Linked DNA regions of Oryctolagus cuniculus. The protein of the gene in region 2 binds, or shares a complex with, the protein of the main gene of each other region. Links are inferred from orthologs where the notes say so. Each region holds a gene or a part of one and is shown on either strand. Other genes may lie near its edges. The genes, in order: NSMCE2, EID3, SMC5, NSMCE3 and NSMCE1.

What was found.
Region 1: EID3 (region 2) and NSMCE2 share a complex: the UniProt entries of both Homo sapiens proteins name them as parts of the SMC5-SMC6 complex. The link is inferred for Oryctolagus cuniculus from reciprocal best matches to the Homo sapiens genes EID3 and NSMCE2.
Region 3: EID3 (region 2) and SMC5 share a complex: the UniProt entries of both Homo sapiens proteins name them as parts of the SMC5-SMC6 complex. The link is inferred for Oryctolagus cuniculus from reciprocal best matches to the Homo sapiens genes EID3 and SMC5.
Region 4: EID3 (region 2) and NSMCE3 share a complex: the UniProt entries of both Homo sapiens proteins name them as parts of the SMC5-SMC6 complex. The link is inferred for Oryctolagus cuniculus from reciprocal best matches to the Homo sapiens genes EID3 and NSMCE3.
Region 5: EID3 (region 2) and NSMCE1 share a complex: the UniProt entries of both Homo sapiens proteins name them as parts of the SMC5-SMC6 complex. The link is inferred for Oryctolagus cuniculus from reciprocal best matches to the Homo sapiens genes EID3 and NSMCE1.

What each region holds. Positions count from the first base shown.
Region 1 is NC_091437.1:150,978,386-150,982,764, reverse strand, and holds part of NSMCE2 (E3 SUMO-protein ligase NSE2), read right to left. Parts: intron 2,852-4,379; coding exon 2,751-2,851; intron 2,405-2,750; coding exon 2,298-2,404; intron 1-2,297. UniProt on the Homo sapiens protein: E3 SUMO-protein ligase component of the SMC5-SMC6 complex, a complex involved in DNA double-strand break repair by homologous recombination. Is not be required for the stability of the complex.
Region 2 is NC_091442.1:107,085,885-107,090,258, forward strand, and holds EID3 (EP300-interacting inhibitor of differentiation 3), read left to right. Parts: upstream 1-1,929; 5' UTR 1,930-2,035; coding exon 2,036-3,361; 3' UTR 3,362-3,690; downstream 3,691-4,374. UniProt on the Homo sapiens protein: Tissue-specific component of the SMC5-SMC6 complex, a complex involved in repair of DNA double-strand breaks by homologous recombination.
Region 3 is NC_091432.1:160,209,436-160,213,814, reverse strand, and holds part of SMC5 (structural maintenance of chromosomes protein 5), read left to right. Parts: intron 1-2,491; coding exon 2,492-2,633; intron 2,634-4,379. UniProt on the Homo sapiens protein: Core component of the SMC5-SMC6 complex, a complex involved in repair of DNA double-strand breaks by homologous recombination.
Region 4 is NC_091443.1:11,537,569-11,541,601, forward strand, and holds NSMCE3 (non-structural maintenance of chromosomes element 3 homolog), read left to right. Parts: upstream 1-2,035; 5' UTR 2,036-2,091; coding exon 2,092-2,919; 3' UTR 2,920-3,264; downstream 3,265-4,033. UniProt on the Homo sapiens protein: Component of the SMC5-SMC6 complex, a complex involved in repair of DNA double-strand breaks by homologous recombination. The complex may promote sister chromatid homologous recombination by recruiting the SMC1-SMC3 cohesin complex to double-strand breaks.
Region 5 is NC_091450.1:12,374,552-12,378,930, forward strand, and holds part of NSMCE1 (non-structural maintenance of chromosomes element 1 homolog), read left to right. Parts: intron 1-2,066; coding exon 2,067-2,188; intron 2,189-3,043; coding exon 3,044-3,121; intron 3,122-4,379. UniProt on the Homo sapiens protein: RING-type zinc finger-containing E3 ubiquitin ligase that assembles with melanoma antigen protein (MAGE) to catalyze the direct transfer of ubiquitin from E2 ubiquitin-conjugating enzyme to a specific substrate.

The DNA.
Region 1 (4,379 bases), on a different chromosome or scaffold from region 2:
CCTGCACACCTTCTCAGAGCGTCTGGGTTTGATTCCCAACTCTGCTTCCAATTCCAGCTTCCTGCTCATGTGCCTTGGGAGGCAGCGCTGATAGCTCAAGTACGTGAGTCCCTGCTACCCATGCCGAGGACCCAGATTGAGTTCTGGGCTCCTAGCTGTGGCATGGCCCAGCCCGTTGTTGCAGGCATTTGGGGGAGTGAACCAGAGGATGGAAGAGCACATTCATTCATTCATTCATTTGGAAGGCAGAGTTAGAGAGAGGCAGAGGCAGAGAGATCTTCTATCTGCCGGTTTACTCCCTAAATGGCTGCAACAGCCTGAGCTGGGCTGATACAAAACCAGGAGCCAGGAGCTTCTTCTGGGTTTCCCACGTGAGTGCAGGGGCCCAAGGACTTGGGCTAGCTTCTGCTGCTTTCCCAGGCCACAGCAGAGAGCTGGATTGGAGTGGAGCAGCTGGGTCTCAAACTGTGCCCATATGGGATGCCGGCACTGCAGGTGGCGGCTTTACCTGCTATGCCACAGCCCACAGTGCAGGCCTCCACTCTCTCTTTAAATAAATAAAAACAAATAAAGGAGATCGAACTAGGCAGGATGTCTATTCTGGGAGTCACTGGCACATATCCTTGTCCTTGTGGGGAGGAATGCGCTTTGTAACAGTACCTGCCTTTTCCTTATTTGACTACAGGGGGACGTCACAAACTTGGAGTAAGAAGAGCTAGCAAATAAATCTATCTAGGAATATCTGTTTTTAGCAATCATGTTAACAATATTTTGGCTTTTCAGAGAACGAACACAGAAAAAAGTTCATTGCAAAAGAGATCTGGAAGTCCAGAAACAACAGAAAATTATAATCACAGAGGAGAGGACAGGTTCAGCAGGGAGGAGACATTTCAACTACGAAGTGGGAACTCCAAACAGATCAAAACGTGCGAATGATGTAGGCTAGAGTTTGCAACCACGAGGCTGCAAAACCATTATTCTTCTAGAATAAACAGGGTAAATTACCTGACTGAATGACCATTAAGATACCTACAGCCTCCAAATATCCAATCTCTAGGGAGTGGTGGGGAATTCCAACTCGAGGTCTGGAACAGCGAATTTCTGGGCGACAGAGACAAACCACACATCAAAGGGACTGTTATCAAAAAGCTCTTGAGACCTGGTCACACCTGCCATTCCATTCCTGCGGCAAAGACAAACCTGTGATAAGCGCACAAGAGATGCCGAACTGAGTCCAAGCCGGAGCCAGTCTAGCTCACTCAGAGTTCTATGTTAATACAGAATCAGAGCCACAGTCCTTTGAGATCTTGGGGAGGGAATAAACACACGAAAGATTCCTCAGAACCTCCATTAAAATAAACCTCACTGATCAGTCACCCATGAGTTTACTTGAATCTTTTAGGAAGTTAGTTAAATAATTAAATATGTGGCAAGTACCCCCTGATAATAAAATGGGATTCATCAAGGCCAGGGGATGTGACTTGTCATCTTAGAGTGTCTACTTAAAATAATTTTTCAAAACTTATTTTATTTATTTGAAAGGCAGAGTGAGAGAGAGAGAGACAGAGACACACAGAGAGAGAATCTTCCATCTGCTGGTTCACTCCCCAGATGGCCCCAAAGGCCGAGGCTGGGCCAGGCTGAAGCCAGGCATAAGGAGCTTCTTCCAAGTCTCCCACGTGGGTGCAGGGGCCCAAGCACTTGGGCCATCATTTACTGCTTTCCCAGGCCATAGCAGAGAGCTGGATCGGAAATGGAGCAGCCGGGTCTCAAACCAGCACCCATGTGGGATGCCGGCATTGTTGGTGGCAGCTTTACCTGCTGTGCCACAGCGGCGGTCCCCTTAAAATACTTTTAAAGCAAATTAGCTGTATTGCAGAAAGCAAAACGAAACAAAACAAGCCTTAAAACAACTTACATTCCCTCTTGTTTGGGGAAGTGTATATACAAAGAGAGGGCACATTTGAGTCTTACAGTTCTCCTTTATGTTCTTCAGGCTAGGTTTTTAATTGCACACATTCATAAAACTCCTATAATCTCATGATTAGAATTCAATCCAACCTTTTTCCTTCTGTTTCAAGGTGTGGCTGGAGTTCCTTCGGCTTTTCCTGAACAGATTGCTAATCTTTCCCAGCTGAATGGTTTTTCCAGAAAGTCAGCTTCCATGTTTACACTGTCCGGGAGGCGAATGTGATCTCGGGCAGACACTGAGTGTCTCTTCCTCTGGCCTGACCTCTGGCACAGCGGCCCTGGCTGCCCACCGCGGAGGCCCCGCTTCCGCTCCCGCGTCAACTCACCAGGCCTTTTTCTTCCGCCTGTGCTTGGACTCAATCATGCGAACAATGGCTTCCTCTTCGTAGGTGTGGCCGCACACTTTGTTTTTCACTGGCTTCTTCATTTCCAACTGCAATCAAGGAGACATTAGGCTTTCAGGAATGATAACGATCAATTTCCAGTAGCTCTCTTTCCCCTAGTCCTGGGCTTTCTCATGGCCTTAGGTAACTATGAGGCTTAAGATAAGGACAAGCAGGGAAACCGGGGCACCAGTGTCATTGGCCATGAACTTTTCCCTAGATCCTTCAGGGTATGCTGGAAGGAAAGCCTGCCCTGTATATGCCTTAGTCTGCATCACTTATCTTTTCTCCCGCCTTAACTCCAAATGTGAAATCAAACCAGAAAGCCAGCAGGAACCATTTTGCCCCTGGGAAGCCAACTGCTTCTCTGACAGGGGTGGAAAGAGGAACCAGTACCTGCGTAATGGGGCAGATGAAGTTGGTCTGACTCTGGGTCACGATCATGTCTTCGTCCACTCCTTCTGTTCCGTCGGCCTCTCTGTCCGCCTGAAGACCATCTAGAGGGAAAGGAGGAGCGGGTGAGCCTCCTCGGCCTGCCTTCACCCCACAGATGCGGAAGGAATGGAAGGACAGTGGGCTCTACGTGGCATGAGTCTCTGTGCGAGGCCCCTGGAGGCCTCGGAATTGTTCTGCTCTCGAGAGAACTCTGCAAGGCACAGGATTCTGCCCATTCCTGCTAAGGAAACTGAGGCTCAGAGCAGTAAAAATACTCTTCAAAGCCACAGAGAATTAACTTTTGGAGATACTGTCTGGTAATCCAGAGTGTGAACTGGGGGACCTGGTTAGCTCCCTCCCGTCCTGCTCTGAGACCCTGAGCTAGCCGCAAACATGAGGAAGGGACACAGAAGGTGGTGTGCTTCTGCACCGCTCCTGGCACAAGGAAGTGCTAAGTGGTACCTGCTATTAGGTAATGTGTGTGGTGTGTGGCTCGTAGGCTTAAACCCTTTCATATTTCTGGGTATTAATGAGGATCTCCAAAGAACTTTTTTCATGTGAATTATATTTACCAATGATAGATATTAAAACTGAAGAATTAAAAACTATGTATTAATTTATTTAAAAAATAAAATCCCTTTACATGGTAACAGATATTTTGTAAGAATTAAAAGTTAGCATATTTTCCAGAAACCATCCTGTCCACCCCTTGTCCCAAGTGAGAAGAGTGGCCCTGCTTCACAGTTTTTCTAAGTACCTTTAATGCTTGGCTTGACAGAAGACAGTTGGATTTTGATATTTGTGCATGCACTTAATTGGCCACAATATCACATGTCCTACAGCTTCTGGGAAAATTCACCCATGGAAAGAATGAGAATGAAAAAGGCAAATGACCTCATGTTATTATGAGAGCAGTTCTGACTTGACAGCTGCCCTGAAAAGGCTCTTGGAGAACTCTAGGGGTTCCCTGGTCACGTTTTGAGAACTGCTGGAGGATGAGTGGTAGTGCTGGCTTTGAACATGGCACTGTCTGCTTCTTCTTTTCATTAAATTGCGCTTTCCCCTCACTTAGGGAAAAGGAGATGACAGACGATTTTTGAAGGAGACAGTAGGAGTTAGTATCATATAAAAGCCTTAACATTTTTTTCCCCTAAAATTTATTTGAAAGTCAGAGTTATGGAGAGACAGGAAGAGACACAGAGAGATCTTCCATCTGCTGGTTCACTCCCCAGATGGCCCCAACAGCCAGGGCTGGGCCAGGCTGAAGCCAGGAGCCTAGAGTTTCATCCAGGTCTTCCCTATGGGCAGCAGGGGCCCAAGCATTTGGGACATCTTCCATTGCTTTTCCCAGACCATTAGCAAGGAACTGGTTAGGAAGGGAAGCAGCTGAGACTTGAACTAATGCCTATTTTGGATGCTGGCATGGCAGGCAGTGGCTTACCCTGCTATGTCATGATGCCAGCCCCTAAAGGTTTTTTAAAAAATTATTTATATTCACTTCATTTGAAAGGCGGAGACCAAGTGAGAGAGCAACAGACAGATATCTTCCATCAGCTGGTTCACTGCTCAAATGCATGCAACAGCAACAGT
Region 2 (4,374 bases):
GATTTTTTATAAATATATGCACAAATAACCATAATGTATGGGATTCTTCCAAACTGCATGCTTTTCCTTGAATCCTCCTACTTAAGTAAATATTTCTGGAAAATAGTAGCATAATATTTTGGAGTAATTTATACTGAGTTTTGCATTTGCAAGGAACTTTCTGCTAGTGCCAAAGAAACATGAAGCAGTCTAGAAGAAGAGAGAGAAAGGTACTAAGAAGGGTTGGTGGCCAGCGCCGCGGCTCACTAGGCTAATCCTCCGCCTGGCCTATTGAGCCGCGGCACCGGCACACCGGGTTCTAGTCCCAGTCGGGGCGCTGGATTCTGTCCCGGTTGCCCCTCTTCCAGGCCAGCTCTCTGCTGTGGCCCAGGAGTGCAGTGGAGGATGGCCCAAGTGCTTGGGCCCTGCACCCCATGGGAGACTAGGAGAAGTACCTGGCTCCTGCCATCGGATCAGCGCGGTGCGCCGGCCGCGGCGGCCATTGGAGGGTGAACCAACAGCAAAGGAAGACCTTTCTGTCTCTCTCTCTCACTGTCCACTCTGCCTGTCAAAAAAAAAAAAAAAAAGGAAATTAAAAAAAGAAGAAGAGTTGGTTTTCTTCTTGGTGCCCTGAAACCTGTGGTTGTCGGCTATAATGTGTGTCTCCCGTGGTTTTAGTTTTGAAGAAACACTTCACACTCATGAAAAACTTTTGACTTTGGTTGTCTTTAGAAATAAACTTATTCTTCTGATTGTTACCTGTATTTGCTACTTGTGTGACTGAAACTGAGCCGGTTCTTTACCTGTTTGTGAATTTCCATTACCCACCTGTCGCTCCCCGTCTTCGTGGAGGAACGACACAGGACCCTGCGCTGTTCTTTTGTCTGCTCGGCCCTCCCCGGGTTTGCTGCTGGTTCTTCCCGGGTTGGCTACCGACCCTTCCACCTCCGTGGAAGGGCGGTTCCCCCCGCGGAAGTGGGGAAAGTGGCAGGGGGAACCGCCCTTCCACGGAGGTGGAAGGGTCGGTAGCCAACCCGGGAAGAACCAGCAGCAAACCCGGGGAGGGCCGAGCAGACAAAAGAACAGCGCAGGGTCCTGTGTCGTTCCTCCACGAAGACGGGGAGCGACATAATGGTGCCATGACTCGGATATGAAGCCTAGGCAGGGCTTAGTGTCGTTCCTCCATGAAGAGGGGGAGCGACACCCACCCATGGCTAGTGGGTGAATTTTCCAAAGCAGGTTAGTCAACCCAGTTAACAGATGTCATTCTCATGTCCTTGTAACAGATTGTACTTAAAAATCTTCAGAGCATTGCTGGTCTTTTGCTGTTCGGTCAGTGGCTTTTACATTTTGGGAAAGTTTCCAAATAAAGACTTTTGTTTATTTTTTTTGGCAGAGACCCCTCCCCACTCCATTCGTCCAGGGATCCCTTGACTTACGAGTGCACACAGCTGGCACTGACACTGCTGCCACTCCGCCCCTCCCCATCCTCAGGAGGGAGTAAGTGGGATGGGATTTGGCCTTTGAGGGCCTACAGATATAATTCACCGGGTTTATGTTTGTATGATGAGTTCTGAACAGCCACCTTGCAATGCATCTCTGGATGTGGCCTCTCTGTAAGAGGTCAGCGTTTCCTGATCTTGGCCTTCCTGACAGTTCATAGTTTATATATCTGTGTATCTATTTCTGTCCGTCTAGTGTAGCCAGATTTAGTTCTCAAAAACTAAACATCTTTTAGTGATGGAGTGAGTGCAGGTGCTCTAAGCGTTTCAAATCACAAGACCTTTAGTTCTCCCAAATTTTGTCCTAAGGTTGCCCCCAGGTGTTTGTGTACTAGGTCTTTACACACCAAAAGTGAGACTAGCCCTTGCCTGAACGGCTGTTACTTCCTGGTGGGGGGTTGAGGGGGGGCATTGTTGGCGCGCGTTCTGTGCGCGAATGCAGGGATCCGGGCTCCAGGCAGCGGGGCTGGGCGGAGGCGGAGGCGCAGAGTCCTGCATCCCGCTGGAGCTGCCTCGGGGCGGGACGGGGCGGGGCCGTCCTGGCACGGGGAGGGATGAGGCGGGGCCGCCCAGCCCTGGGGCGAGGTGGAGGCGGAGCCGGCACGGGGCGGGGCCGGCGTGGCGTGGGGCGTGGCAGGGGCGGGGCGAGCCGCCGGCGGGCAGGGGCAGCCGCTAGTGCGCATGGGCGGGTGTCGTGTGCTGCCGTAACTGACCTCAGGCGTATATACGGTGTGGGAATCGTTGAGGAGGCAGTTCGCTACGCGCTCCCGGTCGTCAACAGGCCTGACGAAGCAAGTACCCTGAAGGAAGGTGTACAGAAAGGGGAGGCGGCGATCGTGACCGTCACCGGAAGCGAGTACTTGGTGAAGCCGGTGGAGGAGGAGGAAGAACCGATGAAGGTGGAAATGGCCCTGGACTCTGATGACCTCAGCTCAGGGGAGGCCCAGCTGGACCCCATCCTCCTGGGGCTGGAGGCTGATGAGGAGAAATGCCGGAGCATCCGCAAGCAGTACCGGCAGCTGATGCGGAGCGTGCAGCACAACCGCGAGGACATCGTGAACACGGCCAGCAACTCGCTCACCGAGGCGCTGGAGGAGGCCAAGGTGCTGTTCGATGGCGTGAGCCGCACCCGGGAGGCGGCCCTCGACGCCCAGTTCCTCGTTTTGGCTTCTGACTTGGGGAAAGAGAAGGCGAAGCAGTTAAACTTTGACATGAGCTTTTTTAACCAAGCAGCGTTTTGTGACTTCCTGTTCATATTCATGGGCCTAAACTGGATGGAAGACGAGCACCACGAGCTGAGTAGCTGTGATGGGACCGCGGCTCTTCACTTCTGGGAGACGCTCCAGAAGGAAGCAGCATGCTGGATGCTGCGAGCGGAGAATTTCCGCTATATCTTTGGTTCGTTCAAGCCAGAACCTTCCGTACGAAAGCCTCGACTTGAACATCAGAAGAGAGTTCGCAGACTGAAGGGAAGCGGAGACATGCCCACAAAGTTGAGGAAGCTGGACCTCAGTAGTAATCATGAGGCTACAGAGAAAGAAGTGGAGAGAATCCTGGGGTTGCTGCAGACGTACTTTCAGAAGTACCCCGACAGTCCTGTGTCTTATTTTGAGTTTGTGATCGACCCGAACTCTTTCTCTCGCACCGTGGAGAACATATTCTATGTTTCTTTCATTGTAAGGGATGGCTTTGCAAGAATAAGCCTCGACCAGGACAGACTGCCAATATTAGAGCCAATTAGTACTAACCAAGTAGATGAGGAAAATGATCCCAGTTTTCATAGCAGGAAACAAGGAATTATCTCTCTGAGTTTACAGGACTGGAAGAATATAGTGGCAACTTTTGAAATTTCAGAGGCTATGATCACAAACTCGTACTAGAAAGATTTTTGTTGCTAGTGTAGGAACTATTTTGTGTTTCCTGAAATATCTCAAAAAATGGAGAGTGAAATCTAAACAGAAATGTATATTGTATCCCATGCAAAGTGAAAAAGTGTTTTAAGAACATCAGAAGTTTTACTGTGCACTATATTTTTCTTGATAATTTACAATGTCATGGTCTTTGGTTATTAAAAAAATTTCATTGATAACCTTTATGGGAAGTTTTTCTTTTTAATGCCCTATGTGTAAGTCTGTATTTAAAAAGTAGATTCTAAGTTTCATAAACACAAGAGTATTTTACAGTTTCCAAAAAAAAAAAAAAAGTTACGTTCTGCAACTTTATTTCCTATAAGGGGCTCCTAATGAGGTTGGGGGAAGATGGATTAAAAGTGGTCAAGTAAAACCACCTACCTATAAGGGAATGACTATACAACATTAAAACGCCTTTTTTTTTTTTTTTTTAAGACAACACTTGAGATACCATTGTGGAGGAGTCAGTTAAGATACATGAATGTCTATATTCTTAATTTCCCTTGTGATTGGACTCAGCAGAAGTAGAGTGTCTCTAGTGTAGTTGTCAAAAAACATCAACTATGAGGTGAAGGGTGAGTAGGAATTAAAAGATAGGAAGGGCAATCCAGGCAGGGGCATAAGTGAGGCCAAACTTGTGGAATTGTGAGAATTTAGGGTGCAAGAGGACATCAGGTTTTTGGGAAAATGGTTTTCTTTGAATGCTAAGCTGGCAAATTGGATGACCTCATCTATTAGTATCCTCAGAAGGGGAGAATATTTTTGTCAGGCTACTTCAACCACAGAATCTATAATGTTGCGTTGTAGGCTTTGTCTTACTGGTTAATTTCCTTCCTAGTTCCTGGATTCCCCTTGTAATTTCTGCTAGTGTGCTGTGTCCTTCAGAGTCTAGAGTTTCAGCGTGTTAGAACTGAATGTTTGTCTCAGGTCTGTTTGCACCGTTTATCCAATTCTTCATTTAGTATAAAACTATAAAGCATTTT
Region 3 (4,379 bases), on a different chromosome or scaffold from region 2:
ATCCTCCGCCTGCGGCGCCGGCATCCCATATGAGCACCGGGTTCTAGTCCCGGTTGCTCCTCTTCCAGTCCAGCTCTCTGCTGTGGCCCGTGAGGGCAGTGGAGGATGGCCCAAGTGCTTGGGCCCCTGCACCCACATGGGAGACCAGGAGGAAGCACCTGGCTCCTAGCTTCAGATCGGCGTAGCTCCGGCCGTAGCGGCCATTTGGGGGGTGAACCAATAGAAAGAAGACTTTTCTCTCTCTCTCTCTCTCACTGTCTATCTGTCAAATAAATTAAAAAAAAAAAGCGAAGCAGAAGACTTGGAAGGCTGTGGAAGAATGAATGAGGTGTGAGGAAGGAAAAGTTGACTGTAAGGAGGAGAAAGAAAAGTTCAGAGCTCGGGATATTTTGTTTGCTTTTACTGATTGGGCGACCCTGAGTTTGAGGAGTAAAGTAGAGGAGGGGTAGGCTTAGAGAATTAGCAAGACAGTAGGAAGAGTAGTCAGAGAATTCAGAGTAGAGTTAGGGAAAGGTTCCTGTGAGTGAGCCAAGTGAAATGAAATTGAGGATAAAAAAAGATTTCTCATCTGAAGAAACAGTGCATGCAAAGGCTTGAAGAAAAAATAAGTAGACCAGAAAACAGAGGTACATTGTTGGTAGGATGTAGAAATCTGAGCGAGAATAGGGAAAGGAGATAACAAATAGAAAAAGATGCAACGAGGGCAAAATTACCAAGGGTTCCTTTCCCAACTTTTCTTTATTTAACAAGTGATAGATTTGCATGTGTACGAACTGAGTTAGTATGATGAGGTGGTGTCATTGATTGGGTGATGGGGCATTGGTCTGGGTTGAGGCAAGGAGATGGAAGAATCAGGATGATGCAAAAGTAATGCCTGGGTTTCTGATTTGAGTGATGGTGTTAGTGATTGATTCTCTTCACCAAGAAGCCATAGAAGTTTTGGATGGGATGGAAAAGATGGTGGATTTAGTTTTGAATGTGTTAAGCATAATGAAGGATTCTTTTAAGACTGAGCTGCTAAGAGAACAAAGTATCTGAAAAGACAAAGTGAATAGATGCTGTGTTTAGGAGTGAGACTGGAAAACTTGTAGAAGCTACTTTTTCCTTATGTTAATTACTTACCTCTGTTTATTTAGTATTATCTGGCATTTTGGAATCATTAATTTTTTGAAGCATTAAAGTTGAAGTGTGGTTGGTTCAATTTATATGGTTAGCAGCTGATAACAGGCTGAACAAATGTTCTTGGGGAGTTAGTCGATAGCTACCTGAGCACTAACTGAAATGCTGCAGGCGGGGCTGGCGCTGTGGTGTAGCGGGTAAAGCCCCAGCCTGCAGTGCTTACATGCCATATGGGTGCTGGTTTGCATCTGGCGGGTGCTGGTTTGCATCTGGCTGCTCTACTTCTGATCCAGCTCTCTGCTGTGGCCTGGGAAAGCAGTGGAAGATGGCCCAAGTCTTTGGGCCCCTGCACCCGTGTGGGAGACCTGGAAGAAACACCTTGCTCCTGGCTTTGGACCAGCGTAGCTCTGGCCATTGGGGTCATCCGGGGAGTTAACCAGCAGATGGAAGACCTCTCTCTGTCTCTGCCTTTCCTTTTCTCTCTGTAACTCTGACTTTCAAATAAATTAATTAATTAAAAAAAAAAAGAAATGCTGCAGGCACGTTGCGTTATTTTTGGGTTCCGGTTCAGGGTATTCAGCCCCAAGTCAGCTTGCTTCACGTTCTGTCGAACTGTCCTTTGCAGCTAATAAGAATGCAGGTGGAGTGCTAGACAACATCAGCTCGATGTTCTGAGGGAACATTGCAGAACATTTTTAAGCTGGGTGACAATACATCTTTTTCTCTCATAAGAATAAAATTGGTTTCACTGTAAACCAGAGGTAGATTCTTTGGTGACTCTTCTGGCAGCATGAAATCAGTGTTTTTCTTTGTTTTTACTTAATAACAAAATAAAAGCATTCTGTTGATATATACCTTCATTGGAATAAGAGTAATTTGATTGAATTGTTTTACATATTAAAATATGGTAAGTAGCCACTAAGCATTTTAATTCAGGAGAAGTACAAATGAAAAAAATTTACAGATTTAAGATAACATACATAAGATAACATAACATAACTGGTTGTATGAAAATTTGTTTGAAAATTATTTTATTTGTGTAGTGATCACTTTGATATTGTCTCATGAATTGTGATAATAAAAATAAATCACATCAAACTCGCTTTTTTCAACAGACTTGATTTTGAAAAAGGCATCTTATTTTCTCTCTGATGTTTGCATTTTAGATATGCATTATCACTTTCTCATTTCTTCCAGTGACTTTCTAACTATAAGTTGTAAGCAACCTGTAGATAATGTTGAATTTGTAAGGTGAGCTGGATTTTAAAGGAATTTGGGAAACTTGTAGATGATGATGTAAAGTGAGAAAGAGTGCTTTTATAAAGAACATATTCTTATCTCTGCTTAATAATTTCATTTCTTTATAATTCAGAACATATGATGTCTGCGAAGTATCTCCTGGACCCCACTTAAATATGATTATTGGAGCTAATGGAACAGGAAAGTCGAGTATTGTGTGTGCCATTTGCCTTGGATTAGCAGGCAAACCTGCTTTCATGGGACGGGCAGATAAGGTGAGTTAACTGAAGAACTTTTAAAGAAAATCTAAAACTGTTCAGTCCTTTTACTAACAAACAAGTTTATTTTTCTCAGTTTTATGAGTATAGTGAAGTTCTAGTGTTTGAATGTAAGGAATGAATTTAGCAGATAAGAGAAGCTGAAAGGAGAGTCTCATCTCTAGAAATGTTTTGGACTATATCGCTTGAGAACTCTTCATGTATGTAACACCTGAAATGCTAGAAATAATGTCATAAATCTTTTTAAAAAATAATAAGAATCTAAAGACATAGCAGACTTGAGTTGTTTTCTCAGGGACATTTAAAAACCTGCGTTTGAATGGTTTGCAACTCGTAGGGGACCTGAGATGAGATAGGGAAGTACTATAAGATAAAATCTAGAAGGCAGGCGGTATATGCAGCAGAAAAAAACACCAAAGGGGCAGTTGGGTTACTTAATTATCTCATTGGTCATTCTGAATACAGTGGGGAGAAAAGTCTTCCAGAGAATTCTTTTTTTTTTTTTTTTTTTTTTTTTTTTTTAACAGGCAGAGTGGACAGTGAGAGAGAGAGAGAGAGAGAGAGAAAGGTCTTCCTTTGCTGTTGGTTCACCCTCCAATGGCCACCATGGTCGGCACGCTGTGGCCGGTGCACCACGAAGGCAGGAGCCAGGTGCTTTTCCTGGTCTCCCATGGGGTGCAGGGCCCAAGGACTTGGGCCATCCTCCACTGCACTCCTGGGCCACAGCAGAGAGCCGGCCTGGAAGAGGGGCAACCGGGACAGAATCTGGCCCCCCGACCAGAACTAGAACCTGGTGTGCCGGCGCCAGTAGGTGGAGGATTAGCCTATTGAGCCGGGGTGCCGGCCCAGAGAATTCTTAACCACAAGCCTTAACATGCATTGGGGGCCAGAATTCATATTACCTATGTGGCTTAAATATCATAAATCCAAATTTTTAAGTGGTCTCAGTTAGTAATACCTTCAAGGTACCTGGCAGAAGCAAACATAACTATCCCTTCAAGGAAAATACTTTTAACCTAGTCCTCAGATGAATTCTAACATGAAGTTTCAAGAAATTCATGAGTCCATCCTAAGAAGTCATAAAACATGTGAAAAATGAATTACCTAAAATAACATCAAGCAAAAACAGACTGCATGATGAGCTCTGCAAAGCTCGTAGGAACAGATAGTAAACTAAGTATTTGTCATTCGCTTAAGGAAATAAAAGAAGATTGCAAATATAACAGAGGAATACATGACAAAAAGATCAATTTGGAAAAGAATCTAATAGAACATAATGAAATTAAAAATATATTACTTGAAGAAAGTTAATGGACAGGTATAGTATTAGAGCAAACACATGGGGCCAACGTCTGCAGTGCTGGCCTCCTTTTTGGGTGCCGGTTTGAGTCCTGGCTGCTTCACTTGTGATCCAGCTCTCTGCTGTGGCCTGGGAAAGCAGCAGAAGGTGGCCCAAGTGCTTGGGCTCCTGCACCCACGTGGGAGACCCGTGGGAAGCTCCTGGCTCCTGGCTTCGGATCAGCACAGCTCTGGCCATTGCGGCCATTTGGAGAGTGAACCAGTGGATGGAAGGCCTCTCTTTCTCTGCCTCTGCTTCTCTAACACTGCCTTTCAAGTAAATATATAAATCTTTTTTTTTTTTTTAAAGAAACAAATACAAGAGCTGGTGTTGTGGTATACCTGCCACCTAAGGACATCTGCATCTCATAGTAGAATGCCTGATTGAACTCACAGCTATGGTAC
Region 4 (4,033 bases), on a different chromosome or scaffold from region 2:
CACTCCCCAAATGGCTGCAACAGCCAGGGCTGGGCCAGGCCAAAGCCAGGAGCCAGGACCTTCTTCTGGGTCTCCCACGTGTGTGCATGGGCCCAAATCATTGGGCCATCTACCACTGCTTTTCCGGGCCCTTTAGCAGGGAGCTGGACCAGAAGTGGAGCAGCCGGGACTTGAACTGGCGCCCGTGTGGGATGCCTGCACTGCAGGCAGAGGCTTAGCCTTCTACACCACCGTGCAGACCCTCTTACTTGCATTCTTAAGGACAAAGTAGAGAGAGAGGCTTTGTGATGAAAAGCATCGTGAAACTGCATCTTTCCCATCTCCTTGGAGGAATGAGCCTGTGGCTTGGCCAGGAAGCTGCTGGATACAGCTGATTTTCACAAGTCACAGAGCAGCCTGACGGCTGGGCTGGCATAACTCAACTGTCCATCACAGGTTCCTTTCTCTCCATTTCTCCCCTATCTCTTGGTTGCTGAATTATTTTTTTTGACTGGGGTACAACTGACTCTAATGCATGGAAGGATTTACAGAATTCTAGATTGCAGGAGGCTTCTCTGAACTTAAGTACAAAGTTCAATTTACAAGGAAACTCAAGCAGGTGCATTTTCTTACTGTAAAAAAAAAAAATGCCTGGATGATACTTAGGCCACTTAGTCCTTTCTGTGTTGCTGTAACAATACCTCGGAGTGGGTCATTTAGAAACAGCAGAATGTTATCTGGCTCACAATTCTGGAAATGAGCAAGTTCAAGGTAAAAGTGAAGAGAGCCCATGGCGAGAGGACGAGGAGGAGAGGACCGGTCACTGCATACTGACCCGCTTGGGGGAAAATGCATTGCTCATTTGGCAGAGCCCTCGTCACCCCCCAGCACTATTAGGGGACATGAACTTTGCGGGACACTCTAACCGCGGCAGCCTCTCATTAAGACTGCCGCGAGGGGCCCCTTCGGTGGATTCGGTGTGGGAGAGCGACTGCTCCCAGCTAGCATTTTGATCATACTGCACCACAGCGTGGATTAAGACTTCACGGTTAGCACTGGGGTGGTGTGGGTGCCATTATCAGATTGCATTTTCATATTGAATTATAAACAAAAATTTTATGTGACTCTCCTTCAATGGAATGTTAATAAGGCTGTGCTTTGGTGCTGTTATTCAAATAATGGGCTCTGAATTGCTTTCCGCGGAATATATTTGCATTAAAGAGGAACTCAATTTAATTTAGTTCCTAGAGAAGTTTACCCATTTTCCCGGTAGCTTTAAAAAAAAAAAGACGGGGAAATTGAGTTTCCTTGCAAGTCGAGAAGAAACACACTTGCTAAAATCTGTAGGCGCGCCAGCAGATTGCTGATCGCTCGAGTTAATGGAACGACGCGTTGCACAATTGAAAATGCATGCAAACTGCACACGTCGCGGACCCCCTGTGCGCTTTGCTACGGATCCCAGTGGCTGGGGAGTTTGCAATGAAGGCGTCTAGGAGATGCACGTTAGCGCAGCTCGCATCCGCGAGGCCTCCGAGGAAGTGGGAATGTCTCCGGGTCCTGCCCCGGGCGTGGCTGCGGGCCCAGGGCCGTGCCCGCGGGCGCCGCGTTCCCCGGCCCCCCGCCGCGGGCAGTGGCCGCCAGCCCCTCGTGTCCCGCACACCCCGGAGGACACGAGGGCGGGCGCCAAGGTCAAGGACGCCCTGCGGCTCGCGTGTCTCGACCTCCACGGTCTGCGCCGCAGCGGGCGCTCCAGCCTCCCACGCCGTGGCGGCCTCGGCCACTCCATCCACAAAGGCGCCCGATGCTAAACCTCTTAATACCGCCCGTAACCGCCCCGCGCCCGTGCGGGCCTGAAATTAGCCGCACCCTAGAGCAGGAGTTTGGTGGTCTCTTTCTAACCCGATTAACCCATCACTCCCACCAGCAGCACCGCGCCGCCCTTCCGCAGGCGCGGCTGCGCATGCCCAGCGCCGCCCCCCGTGACGCAGCACGCACGGGGACGCACGCCGCGTGGCCCCGCCCCCTGGCGCCTCGCGCCGACCCACAATCCCCGCCGCTTCCGGCCGTTGCGGCCCCCGCCCCGCTGCGGCCCCCGCCCCGCTGCCTGGAGCCATGTTGCAGAAAGCCCGGAGCCGGGGCCGGTCCAGTTCCCAGGCCGACAGGGACGGGGGCCGCGGCGCCGCCGAGGAGACGCCGAGCACGTCCCGCGGGCCGGGCGGCTCGCAGGAGGCGCTGAGCGCCCCGTCGGTGGGGCCCAGGACTCAGAAGCAGCTGGAGCTGAAGGTGGCGGAGCTGGTGCAGTTCCTGCTGGTCAAGGACCAGAAGAAGATCCCCATCAAGCGCACGGACATCGCGAAGCACGTGCTGGGCGACTACAAGGACGTCCTGCCGGACCTGCTGCGGCTGGCCGGCGAGCGGCTGCAGTACGTGTTCGGCTACAAGCTGGTGGAGCTGGAGCCCCGCAGCAACGCGTACATCCTGGTGAACACGCTGGAGCCGGTGGAGGAGGACGCGGCGGTGCGGGGCGACCAGGGCACGCCCACCACGGGCCTGCTGATGATCGTGCTGGGGCTCATCTTCATGAAGGGCAACGCGGTGAAGGAGACGGAGGTGTGGGACTTCCTGCGGCGGCTGGGCGTGCACCCCACCAAGCGGCACGTGGTCTTCGGGGACCCCAAGAAGCTGCTCACCGAGGACTTCGTGCGGCAGCGCTACCTGGAGTACCGGCGGATCCCGCACACGGACCCCGTGGACTACGAGTTCCAGTGGGGCCCGCGCACCAGCCTGGAGACGAGCAAGATGAAGGTGCTCAAGTTCGTGGCCAAAGTGCACAACCAGGACCCCAAGGACTGGCCGGCGCAGTACTGCGAGGCCCTGGCGGACGAGGAGAGCCGGGCCCGGCCGCAGCCCCAGCCCAGCGGGCCGGCCGCCACCTGCTGAAGCCCGCGGCGCGGGCGGGAGGGGCGCCCGGGGGTGGGTGGGTGGGTGGGCTCGCCTCCCCCGGCCCCTGCTGTCTGCTCCCAGGCCGCCGCCTCGAAGCAGGCTTGGGGGAGCGGCGGCTTTTGCCCCCACCCCCGGTTTAGACTTTGCCGTCGTGTTGTTATTTTGTATAAAATCTTGCTGGCTTTGTAAGACTAACCGGAGCGCTGCGTGCCGTGCCCTGGGACAGGTGTTTAAGAAAGCGCGTGAGCGCAGGACCTCGGTGCCGAGAATATAAAAGCAGAGAAGTGATTTCACGTCTCCTACCCCCATTTGTAAGGAAAATAAAGCTGTTTGCAAAGTTGACCGTGCGACTAGAACCGTCTGTCCTTGTTAGAGTAACACGCGGATTTCACAGGCTTCCTGCCCCGGGCCGCGGCCGTGACTCCGAGCGATGGCCTCCTGTGCCTCCAAGAGGGTTTTGGGCTCACGATTGTTACTCAGCTGTGTGGCTCATCGCTCAGTTCCATTGGGCGGCTTTTCTTCCCTCTAACTACGTAGCCGTTAACGATAAATGCTGTATTTTAAAGTGGTTAGTCATGCGCGTTTTTAAATCTCTTGCATATTAATGTTCATAGCGTTCTGTAGAAGTTGATGTAAAAAAAGTATTTGCGTAGCTTCACGGTGTGAAATGTGTGTCTCGGTCAGTGACCCACCTGCCTGCCGGACGGCCCAGGTGTGTGAACTGACGGGGCCTAGCCTGTGAGGTGGCCGATGCCGGCGTGAACAGGGAAGTTTACCTAAGACTCCTGTCACAGCCCCTTTGTAAAGTTATTCAGAAAGAAGATTTTTTTTCTTCTTAGTCCGGAGCTGCTGCTTCCTGTGTGTGCCGACTTTTAACTGTTCTCAGCCGCTCCTAGGAAAGTCGGGCCTCTGTCCTAGCCTGACTGCGCTGTGTGGGTCTGTGGAAAGGCATCTGGTGCACGGCGAGTGCAGCCCACGAGGAGAGCGGGAGAGGAAGGGCCCTGCGGCTGTCCCCTGGCCTGGGGAGGGTCCTCTGCACAGTAGCAGGCGAGGTGAGAGGTTGGGAGCAGCTCGGCCCAGTCACAGCTCCTGCCCTCCTCAGCAGGGCCGC
Region 5 (4,379 bases), on a different chromosome or scaffold from region 2:
CATGGGGGCAGCGTCTCGGGAGGGGCGCAAGGCAGCACATGGGCCATAGCTCGCTCCATCCCGGTTTTCCGGCAGGGGCTCCAGCCTGCCTTGTCATATTTCCCTCACGATCCTGTCATGTCCGTGCTCACCTGTTTAGTATTAGGAACGATCGATTTACATTGCTGTTGAAAAAACCTTCTATGACTTCCCTTCCCAAGGAAGATGAGACTCTTGCTGTGAACTGCGTGTTAGTGGTTTTAAAAATTATTCATTTCAGGGCCGGCGCCGTGGCTCACTAGGCTAATCCTCCGCCTGCGGCGCCGGCACAGCGGGTTCTAGTCCCGGTCGGGGTGCCGGATTCTGTCCCGGTTGCCCCTCTTCCAGGCCAGCTCTCTGCTGTGGCCCGGGAGTGCAGTGGAGGATGGCCCAAATTCCTTGGGTCCTGCACCCCATGGGAGACCAGGATAAGTACCTGGCTCCTGCCATTGGATCAGCGCAGTGCGCCGGCCACAGCGGCCATTGGAGAGTGAATCAACGGCAAAGGAAGACCTTTCTCTCTGTCTCTCTCTCACTGTCCACTCTGCCTGTCAAAAAAAAAAAAATATTCATTTCAAAGGCAGAGTGACAGAGCAAGAGAATGAAAAGGGAGAGGCCTTCCACCCACCGGTTCACTCCCCCAAATCCCTGCCGCAGCTGGGGCTGGGCCACCCTAAAGCCAGGAGCCATGGCCCCCGTCCTGGTCCCCAGCGTGGTGGCAGGGCCCAGCTGCTCTCGGGCCATCTTCCGCTGCCTTCCCACGAGCCGCGAGGACTTGAAGCAGGCACTTTGACACGGGGTGTGGGTGTCCCAAGTAGTGGCCCCTGCCCATTACTATCCCTGTCGTGGTCCTTGTTACCAGCCTTCGTGGGTCATGTGGTCCTGCCCCTCTGATGGCACTGGGGAGCCTGTGTGGTCCCCATCTGCGTCCCATGACTGTGTGCTCCACTGCTGCCCTGCTACCAGGCCATCTTCCCTCTAAACTCTTCCTCTCTGGTTCCCCATGGAGCTTAGCAGTGCCTTCTTTCTGGAGGAAGTCAAACGCAGGTACAGATACAGCTTAGGGACCTCATGTGACCCTGTTCTCGCAGGGCCTGCCTGGCGACGGCCTTGGTCAGCAGGTTGGCGGGGTAACCACCCGGCCTTTTACTCAGAATTGTTTTGTTGGTTCTGTTAGCATCTTTAACATGAACAGTACGTTGCGTGTTCTTCTTGAAATGGTGCTTTGTTTTTCAGAGGAATTTTCTGAAGTGCAAATCTTTTGAAATTAGTTATTTTAATAAGTGGAGATGTCAACATATACCCTAGGTTTTATTGATTTATTTTTGAAGATTTATTTTACTTTTTTGACAGGCAGAGAGCGAGCGAGAGTGCATACTTCCATCTGCTGGTTCACTCCCCAAGTGGTTGCAGTAGTGGGGGTGGGGCGGGCTGAAACCATCTGGGTTGCCCACGTCGGTGGCACGGGCCCAAATACTTGGGCCATCTGCTGCTGCTTTCCTAGGTTCATTAGCAGGGAGCTGGAAGCAGCCGGGACTCAAACCAGCACTCCAGTAGGGGATGCTGGCGTTGCCAGCAGTGCCCCAAGGCCGGCTCTGTCTAGGTTTAAAATGTAACCCGGGGTGAGTGTGGGATGCCTGCGTCCCATCCCTGAGTGCCTGGGCTGGGTCCCGGCCCAGGGCCAGCCGTGCAAGTGCTCAGTAGCTGTTTGGACGTGGAGTAAAGGGCGGAAGGAATGAAATAGACCCCGACGTGCGAGGACGAGCAGGGACACTGGGGACGATGGCGACCAGGGGTGCCATGGAGCCTGTGGCGGGAGCTCAGGGCAGCTGAGTGAGCGCAGGGGTTGTGAGCATCTCCCAGGCCTCTGCCCCTCGAGGCCCTTGCTTGCGCCTGCCTGCTTCTGTCCTCCCGGAAGAAAAGCCGCATGGGGGCGGGGGCTACCCCGTCCTGCCTGGGCCCGGCGCGGTGTCCAGGTGCCGGGGGCTGATGGAACCAAGCCACCGTCTGCGAGGACGACCCCGTTCTCTTTGCCTCTTTACTTCCAGGCAATGCTCCCATAGACAGGCTGGAGGACTTCATCAACAACATCAACAGCGTCCTGGAGTCATTGTACATCGAGATCAAGAAGGGAGTCACGGAAGATGACGGCAGACCCATCTACGCGCTGGTGAGTGCCAGGTGGCGCCCTCTAGTGGCTCCTGTGGGGAGCTGCAGCCGGTGGCCTGTGCGTCCGGTGGGAGCGCTCCCTGCCTGGCAGAGGCTCTGGGGACAAAGGGGCCGGGCCGCCCTTGCTGTGCTCACAGCCCGCCTGCAGGTCTGTGGGACCCTCTGGGTTAGCAGGCGGGGTGACCAGCACTAGAGCTGGCCCTGGACTCGGTGCCCTCATCACTGGATGCACGGAGCCCCTGCCTAGGCGTGGTGGTGAGGGTTTGCTTCGCTCTGTCCTAGAACGTCCCACATGTGTGGCACGTGAGGCGTTGAGGCAGGACATGGGCTTGCTTTTGGGGTGAGACATAGGAGCTGTGGGAAGAATAGTGTGGGAGCCCTGAGGAGTGAGACTCGTTTGGGGCCTCACCTTTGCAGCCAGGGAGTGGGGAGGTGTGTGAGAGGGGAGACGCTGACCGGCCTTGTCCTTGGCTGGGGACCGCCTGGGGCTCCTCCCAGCCAGGCCGACGCTCAGACGCGGGCCCTGCAGCCCGGACTTTCCCCAGCCCTGCTCCATGGAGCAGACTCATGTGCATTCACAGCCATGGGGGCCCGCTAGAGCAGAGTGCGTTCCCGCCGACTGCTCCCGCCTTTTGCGTTGGCGGCTCTTGTCATGTGCAGACCTGGTCCCCAGCGCTGTGTGAGTTTGGAGCATCCCGCACAGCCTGTGGGGCTGTGCAGTGTCTGGGAGCCAGGCGTGGTGGCTGGGTTCGAGGTGAACGCCCGTGAGCTGCAGCTGTGTCCGCATGGCCGGCGGGGCCTCGGTGCGGGGCTCACCAGCAGGCGAGCGCACCATGATGGCTGTGCTGACTTCTAGGTGAACCTCGCCACCACTCCCATTTCCAAAATGGCCACAGATTTTGCAGAGAATGAACTGGATCTGTTCAGAAAGGCGGTGAGTACTGGGCCCCGTTGCATGTCAGCTGTGGTTCTTGTGGGAAGCTCCTGCCTCCACCATTAGAAATGGAAGTGGGAGGGGCCGGCGCTGTGGCACAGCCGGTTAAGCCTCTGCCTGTGACACCAGCATCCCCATTGAGCTCTGGTTCCAGTCCCAGCTGGAGCAGCTCCCTGCTGATGGCCTGGGAAAGCAGCAGCAGATGGGCCAAGTGCTTGGGCCCCTGCCACACATGTGGGAGACCTGGATGGAGTCCTAGGCTTCTGGCTTTGGTCTGGTAGATATCACACCCCCCCCCCCCCCCGTCTCTCTGCTTTTTAACTAAATACATAGTTGGGTTTTGTTTTTTTTTTTTTTTGACAGGCAGAGTGGACAGTGAGAGAGACAGAGAGAAAGGTCTTCCTTTACCGTTGGTTCACCCTCCAATGGCCGCCGCGGCCAGCGTGCTGCAGCTGGCACACCGCGCTGATCCGATGGCAGGAGCCAGGTGCTTCTCCTGGTCTCCCATGGGGTGCAGGGCCCAAGGACTTGAGCCATCCTCCACTGCACTCCTGGGCCACAGCAGAGAGCTGGCCTGGAAGAGGGGCAACCAGGACAGAATCCGGCACCCCGACTGGGACTAGAACCCGGTGTGCCGGCGCTGCAAGGTGGAGGATTAGCCTAGTGAGCCGCGGCGCCGGCCTACATAGATCTTAAAGAAGAAGAAAGAAGTAGAGACAGTGGAGGGGAATAAAGGCCCCAGCTGCTGCCCAGGAAAGGCCCTGCGGGGAGAGCTCAGCCCCGCCACCTGCTTGCTTGGGAGGCAGCCGCAGCCACCTGGGACAGGAAGCTGGTGCACGTGTGAGCCTGGCTGCAGGCCGGCAGCAGGGCCTCCTGGGAGGAATGAGTGTGACGACCGTGCGGCCCGGGAGCTCGTTACAAAGGCGGGTCCCAGTCTGCACCCCCGCAGTGGGATCTGAGGTCATGGCATTTGAACAGAGCGCCCACTGACTCATCCGTCCGGGCACGTGTGAGAGGGGCCGCTCCGCCAGACTTTGGGGCTGTCAGCACCGCCCTCCTGTCGCACACCTGGCCTGGACGGTGGCGCTCGGTCCCGGTGCGCGTGCTGGTCACCTGTGAGGTTCCAGCATCACCCTGGCTCTGAGCGCCGGGTCCTAGGAGCAGTGCTTTAGAAGCCTCTGCTGGGAGCTCCCGGCAGCCAGGGTTGAGAGCCAGCCCAGGAGTCAAGTGACGTGCAGCTTCCAGGCGGCCCCCATGC